2 linked regions of the Saccharomyces cerevisiae S288C genome follow. The gene in region 2 interacts genetically with the main gene of each other region. Each region holds a gene or a part of one and is shown on either strand. Other genes may lie near its edges.

Evidence for each region. Genes that interact genetically often act in the same process or in processes that back each other up.
Region 1: mutations in RAD23 (region 2) and HRK1 together harm fitness more than expected from each alone (negative genetic interaction), as found in Saccharomyces cerevisiae (3 studies listed by BioGRID).

What each region holds. Positions count from the first base shown.
Region 1 is NC_001147.6:823,032-826,789, forward strand, and holds the start of HRK1 (putative serine/threonine protein kinase HRK1), read right to left. Parts: upstream 1,837-3,758; coding exon 1-1,836. Other genes in the region: YOR268C (uncharacterized protein), read right to left, coding at 2,503-2,901; PAC1 (Pac1p), read left to right, coding at 3,354-3,758. UniProt on the Saccharomyces cerevisiae protein: Involved in regulating the activity of the plasma membrane proton pump PMA1.
Region 2 is NC_001137.3:80,954-84,711, reverse strand, and holds RAD23 (Rad23p), read left to right. Parts: upstream 1-2,108; coding exon 2,109-3,305; downstream 3,306-3,758. Other genes in the region: ANP1 (Anp1p), read left to right, coding at 160-1,662; putative acireductone synthase UTR4, read right to left, coding at 3,567-3,758. UniProt on the Saccharomyces cerevisiae protein: Plays a central role both in proteasomal degradation of misfolded proteins and DNA repair.

The DNA.
Region 1 (3,758 bases), on a different chromosome or scaffold from region 2:
GTTGACGTTAGTATCAACTTTAGCGTTACAATCCGATTCATTGCTGCAGTCATTGTTAGCATTACAATCCGTTTTGTCATTGCAGTCACTGTTAGCCTTGCAATCCACTCTGCCGTTAGAGTCACCATTAGCATCGCAATCAGCGTCGGCATCGGCATCTACTTTCTTTGGGTTAGCTGAAACTACCGTGCTTTTATTCTCATTTTTGCTTATTTTAATATCGATGGTACTTTCCTTGTCATTATCTGGCGTGCTTTCTTTATCATTATTGCTATCATCTTCTTTATTTTCTTCGGTTTCTTCTTCCACAATGTCTGGTTTGTTATCGCTTTTACCCTGTATAGATGCTGGAGTATTTGGAACTTGATTTTGAACTGTTTTCAAGTTTGATTCATGAGCTGGTTGTTGCTGATTGATGGCGGAACAGTCACTGTGATTCAAAAACCTTTGACGCTTTTCTTTTCTTTCCTTCAGTAACTCTTCGTGATGCCTGGCAGATTCAACATAGTCGTGTTCTATATCATCCGGCATACAATATAATCTAAAATTATCGTCAGAATCTCTAGGGGCTTTCCATGGAAACCTTTTAAGCACCATACAACAATATATGATCCCAATAGACCATATATCGACGCACTGAGGATCATAAGATTTGGTGGAGGTAATCACTTCCGGCGCTAAGTAAGGGTCACTACCCACGATTCCATGAGCCATCGTTACGCCATCTTCAAAAGGATATCTGAACACAACAGCACTACCAAAATCAATTAATTTCAAAATACCCTGGGAAGTCATGACACAATTATCCAATTTCAAATCTCTATGTGCCAATCCCATAGAATGTAAATATTTAACACCTTCAGTCAATTGCTTCAAGCAACAGTTGATCTCGCCACGAGACATCTTGCCTGTCATAACAACAGCAAAAAAATCAATCGGACAGTACTCCATAACTTCATAGTATTTATTTTGTTTAGAATCAGAGAAAACGTCAACAGTTTCGATAACATTTGGGTGATGTAAAGTCGAACCAATACAAAATTCTGCGGTGCACTTCTTGGCATATTCTTTCACACTCTCATTCGGTTTCCTTGGTCTGAATTCTTTGACGGCAAAAGTAGCACCATCAGTTGGTCTCACAAGAACTTTAACGGACCCACCGGCACCGGAACCCAATAACTTACCCAATTTCCCGTATTTTTGAGCCAGAATACAATCATCGTGATATATATTAATATTATTGGACAAAGATAGGATAGAATCGGTACTTGGCGGTATAGCAGACTGGGTATGAGCATAGTGGTCTGTAAAGCCATGAGGATGCTGGGCACGATAGTGATTATTTAAATTAACTGTAGAAGTTGATTTTGAAGGTGGGGGGGAATGGGTGCTATGTTTCTTGGAACGAAGTTGAGACATAGATAGTTTTTTATTTACAGAAGGTCTGAAAAACCTTTTCAATTCTGCCATGGAGTGGGTTTGTTTTGGAGAGGCGGGAGAAGTATAGTCATGGAGCCCATGAGAAATATTATGGTGGTGGTTTGTTTCATAGTTATTATTGTAGTTGTTTGTTGAGATACTGGTTGCATTAGAATGGCTATGGGTGTTGTTATTAAGGTTTGTTGTAGTATAATTTGTAGTGGTTGTGGTAGATTTCATGGAATCTGTAGATTTCTCGCTTCTTAGTGAGTCATTACTTTGTTTTCTACCAATGAAGTTTAAGAAAGATTTAGAACTTCTGATCAACTGTGGCGGGTTATTAGACGAATTTTCACGGTCATGATGATGGTCATTATGATGACCATGGAATGGGTTTCTCGACAATAGATTAGGCATCTTTATACGAGAAATAGTTCTACCGTATTATTATAATTATTAGTGTTATTATTTTTGTTTTCGATCAATTCTAGCGGAGCTACAATGTGGTAGTCAAACGCTGCTATTGTATTTAATTCCGGCTCGAGACCAGTCTGGAAAGTCGACGTATATCGTTACTACTATCCTTTTTTTATTATTCCTACTATTTCCTTATTGAAAAAGTGGAAAACTGTTAAATCTGGAAATTCTTCACGATTCTAGAAAAATAGGAGGTGAAGAAGATTTCTAAGCTTTTTGAAAAAAACGGGAAAAGGAAGAGGCCCAAAAAAGTGAAAAAAAACTGTGTGTGTGAAATGTAAACGAACTTTGCTCCCTCTAGGAAAAACTTCTTTAAGCGGTTGGGAACTGTCTTGGGCTTACTTGTTTGTAAACAGTTGTATGAATGATTCTATATGCTAATTCTCAGTTTGTCTCTCTTAAAGATTTGTCACTCTGAAATATATAGCCAAATAGAACTAGGCGAAGAAAAAGAAAAGGGGCGGCGACGACGTAGGGGTCAGGTAGAAGAGTTGGGCACTTATTGGCGATATAAAAGACAAAATACACTAATGCAAGAGTATGGTGAGCGAAAGGAAAATAAAGAAAGGCTACGTTATTGACGGATATATGAATCAAGACACAAGACTATTTTGTATAGTAAGCAGAACCGGCTTGTGTTTGTGATTCATGGATCAACGAGACGGTAGCGAATAAGCACCAACGGAAAAAAAGAAAACATACGCATACATGCACGTACAAGATAAAAAAAGCACAGGTGTGGTGGTAGTATTGGGATAACCAGGCACACGCTACTGCGAGATAGCAAAAGACCCTTCCCGTAAACCGCTCGGATAAACCGATTTTGTCCTTTAGCGTGACACGGATTATACGCGGGGATCCGGCGTCACAAGCCACGGCCCGTCCCGTCCGCGTGGTTTTTAATTCTGGCTCCGCGTAGTACATTTTGTAGCTTGCCTTTTTTCCGGCTTCTAGAAAACTGGAAAAACCATAAGAAAAAAATGGGAAGGGGAAAACAAAAACCATTCAGGTCTTGCGTGCCGAGAATTTTTTTTTTCTCTTTTTCGTTGTCAACTTTTGCAGTAGCAGCCGCTGGCGACCCGGACGGTAGCCATGGCAACGGTTAGCTAATGGTAGGTAAATAAAACGAGTAACGACGTTTTAGTATATCTTGGTAAACTACAATTAGATCTTAAAACGGTTCCTGAAAAAGTGCTTTCATCTACCATTGAATTTAATTCACTTCCCTTTATGGAATTTGCACTGGTTTTGTGCTGTGGGATGTGGGTGTTTTGAAATATTTTCAGCTTGCAAGTCGTGCATATTGCACTTGTTTCTTATTTTTGGCGAGTGTAAACGTAATAGGTAATCTTAGTATTGGGCCATCGTCGCCCAGATAGCCATTGATAAAGCAGCTAGGTTCGTCGTCCGGTTGTTGGTATACACCTGTGCGTGCGTAAGTGTAGAAAAAAATAGAAATGACTAACTGGCAGCAACAGCTTCCTTTAACAGATACACAGAAAAATGAACTCGATAAAAGTGTCCTCCGATATTTGAATTGGAATTACAAACAAACTGTACGACATGAGCATGCTCAAGATTACGAAAGTGTTCGACATGCAATTGTAACTCTATCAGGTTTTCTGTTGCAAGAATCAGTGGACCGGCAAGAATTCATCAGTAACAATGACACCAGTAACGAAAGTATGGTAGACATTGATGAATTACTGCTACCGAAGAAGTGGAACTCAATTGTTAGACTACAAAAAAAAATCATTGAATTGGAGCAGAATACAGAGACCCTTGTATCTCAGATTAAAGATTTGAACACTCAAGTGTCAGAACTAGCACAATTCAAACCTACCACCAGTAACGGCACCAGC
Region 2 (3,758 bases):
GATTCAAAAACGCCAAGATCTGTTAGTAGAGACAGCAAGCATTGCAAAACCATTCATCACTCAGTTGCTAGGCGAGTGTTGGTGCGATTTACCCTCATCATCTTTTTTTCGCTCCATTAAACAGTTCCTTGTGGCTTTCATGCAAAGTGTACGTCCATAATGAAGTATAATAACAGAAAACTCTCGTTCAACCCTACCACAGTAAGTATCGCTGGAACGTTGCTTACGGTGTTCTTTCTCACAAGACTCGTGCTTTCGTTCTTCTCGATATCGCTATTCCAGCTGGTAACTTTCCAAGGAATCTTCAAGCCCTATGTTCCAGATTTTAAAAATACTCCCAGCGTAGAGTTCTACGACCTACGAAATTACCAAGGCAACAAAGATGGTTGGCAACAGGGTGACCGCATCTTGTTTTGCGTGCCACTGAGAGATGCTTCTGAGCATCTTCCCATGTTTTTTAACCATCTGAATACCATGACATATCCGCACAACCTGATTGATCTGTCGTTTTTGGTGAGTGACTCTTCGGATAACACCATGGGCGTGTTACTATCCAATCTACAGATGGCGCAATCGCAACAAGACAAGTCCAAAAGGTTTGGTAACATCGAAATCTATGAGAAGGACTTCGGCCAAATCATTGGTCAGTCCTTTTCTGATCGTCACGGGTTTGGCGCCCAGGGCCCCAGAAGAAAGCTGATGGCCAGGGCTCGTAATTGGCTTGGGTCCGTGGCCCTGAAACCATACCACTCCTGGGTTTACTGGAGAGACGTGGATGTCGAAACCATCCCCACTACCATCATGGAGGATCTAATGCATCACGACAAGGACGTCATTGTCCCCAACGTCTGGAGACCTTTACCAGACTGGCTGGGAAACATTCAACCCTACGATTTAAATTCATGGAAGGAATCAGAAGGGGGTCTTCAATTGGCGGATTCCCTAGACGAAGATGCTGTCATTGTGGAAGGGTACCCAGAGTACGCCACTTGGAGACCTCACCTGGCATACATGAGAGACCCAAACGGTAATCCAGAAGACGAAATGGAATTGGACGGTATTGGAGGGGTCTCGATTCTCGCGAAAGCTAAAGTATTCAGAACAGGCTCACACTTTCCTGCATTCTCCTTTGAAAAGCACGCAGAGACAGAAGCATTCGGTAGGCTCTCCCGCAGGATGAATTACAATGTCATCGGCTTGCCCCATTATGTCATCTGGCACATCTACGAACCTTCCAGCGACGACTTAAAGCACATGGCTTGGATGGCTGAAGAGGAGAAGCGGAAACTAGAAGAAGAGAGAATTCGCGAATTTTACAACAAGATCTGGGAGATTGGATTTGAAGATGTCAGAGACCAATGGAACGAAGAAAGAGATTCAATCTTAAAAAACATTGACTCCACTTTGAACAATAAAGTCACTGTAGACTGGTCTGAAGAGGGAGATGGCTCGGAGCTGGTGGACTCAAAGGGTGACTTTGTCTCACCAAACAACCAACAACAACAACAACAGCAACAACAACAACAACAGCAGCAGCAGCAACAGCAACAGCAACAACAGCTCGACGGCAACCCGCAGGGGAAACCTCTTGATGACAACGACAAGAACAAGAAAAAACATCCTAAAGAAGTTCCATTAGACTTCGACCCTGATAGAAACTAGGCTCGGTTTTTTAGTGACCTACATATGAAGTACGAATTCATATAGTTGTACATATATACCGATAATAATATCAAACCTCTATTCTTTGGTCTTTAACTTTTCTTTGAGTGAATTACAATACCATTGTTATATCAATCACTATACACGGCTCGGTGGCGAAATTGAAATTTTTTTATTTTCTTCTCTTTCATTATGGCTAGGCAAGAAATAGCGACAGCAAAACTTAAGAAAAAATGATAGAACAAGGTCCCATCCAGTATTGACTAGTAGCTAAAGCTAGAAGGTACACTTAGGTTTTTCTCCCTGTTTTTAAGTTTGAACCATTGATAAGGCCGTTCGCAGACAAGCTTGCTACCATCCAATTTTCCTTCCTCTAAAGACTTAATAAAGGCATCTAACTCCACCTTTAAATCACAGATCACACAAAGACAACATACAATAGAAAAATGGTTAGCTTAACCTTTAAAAATTTCAAGAAGGAAAAAGTTCCTTTAGATCTGGAACCTTCAAACACAATTTTAGAGACCAAGACCAAGCTTGCTCAATCCATTTCTTGTGAAGAATCTCAAATAAAACTGATCTACTCGGGTAAAGTGCTACAAGATTCCAAAACCGTATCGGAATGCGGGCTAAAAGATGGGGACCAAGTTGTCTTCATGGTTTCTCAAAAAAAGTCCACGAAGACCAAAGTAACAGAACCTCCAATTGCTCCTGAGAGCGCCACTACCCCCGGAAGAGAAAATTCTACAGAAGCATCCCCCAGTACGGATGCTTCTGCAGCTCCTGCAGCCACTGCTCCCGAAGGCTCACAACCGCAAGAAGAACAAACCGCCACTACAGAACGTACTGAATCTGCCTCTACACCGGGATTCGTGGTGGGAACCGAGAGGAACGAGACCATCGAGAGAATCATGGAAATGGGCTACCAAAGAGAGGAAGTCGAACGAGCCTTGAGAGCAGCCTTTAATAATCCAGATAGAGCGGTGGAATATCTACTGATGGGTATTCCAGAAAATCTGCGTCAACCGGAACCACAGCAACAAACAGCCGCCGCAGCGGAACAACCATCGACAGCCGCCACCACTGCGGAACAACCGGCTGAAGACGACTTATTTGCACAAGCTGCCCAAGGCGGTAATGCTTCATCCGGTGCGCTTGGCACAACTGGAGGAGCTACAGATGCTGCGCAAGGTGGACCTCCAGGTTCCATTGGCCTCACTGTAGAAGATTTACTATCGTTGAGACAGGTCGTTTCAGGTAACCCAGAAGCTTTAGCCCCATTGTTGGAAAACATAAGTGCTAGATATCCTCAATTACGTGAACATATCATGGCAAACCCAGAAGTGTTTGTGTCCATGTTGCTAGAAGCCGTGGGTGACAATATGCAAGATGTTATGGAAGGTGCGGATGATATGGTGGAAGGAGAGGATATAGAAGTTACAGGAGAGGCTGCTGCTGCAGGACTGGGACAAGGTGAAGGTGAAGGTTCTTTCCAAGTTGACTATACCCCCGAAGACGATCAAGCTATTTCGCGCCTCTGTGAATTGGGCTTTGAAAGAGATCTTGTTATCCAGGTGTATTTTGCGTGCGATAAAAACGAAGAAGCTGCAGCAAATATTCTATTCAGCGATCATGCCGACTGAGATTGTAGTAATGTTATGGCTTGAAGTATCTTCACTTATTCTCGACAATGTTGCATGATTTTTGAGCCAAGGGAAAAAAAAAGCTTACGTAGAAATCAATAACGTATGTGTATTTATATATGCTAGAAGGGAAAGAAAAGAAAACAGAGAGATGGTAATATTAATCTCAATAATAATAATAATAATAATAATAACAATAATAATAATAATAACAACAACAAATAATGATTATACTGCTTTTAGCGCATATATACAGTTTTGTTAAAGAGTTTCAAAATTCTTGTATACCTGGTACTTTTGCCCATCGGGGACAGGTGCATTACCAGGTCGGGAAGCTAACCCAGTAGCTATTCCAACGCCGGCCGCTGCGTCCAATTCCAATGGATTATCGCTCAAGAACAGTACCTCGCTAGCCTTCGCACCGATATCCCGCAAGATGTTGGCGTAAGACTG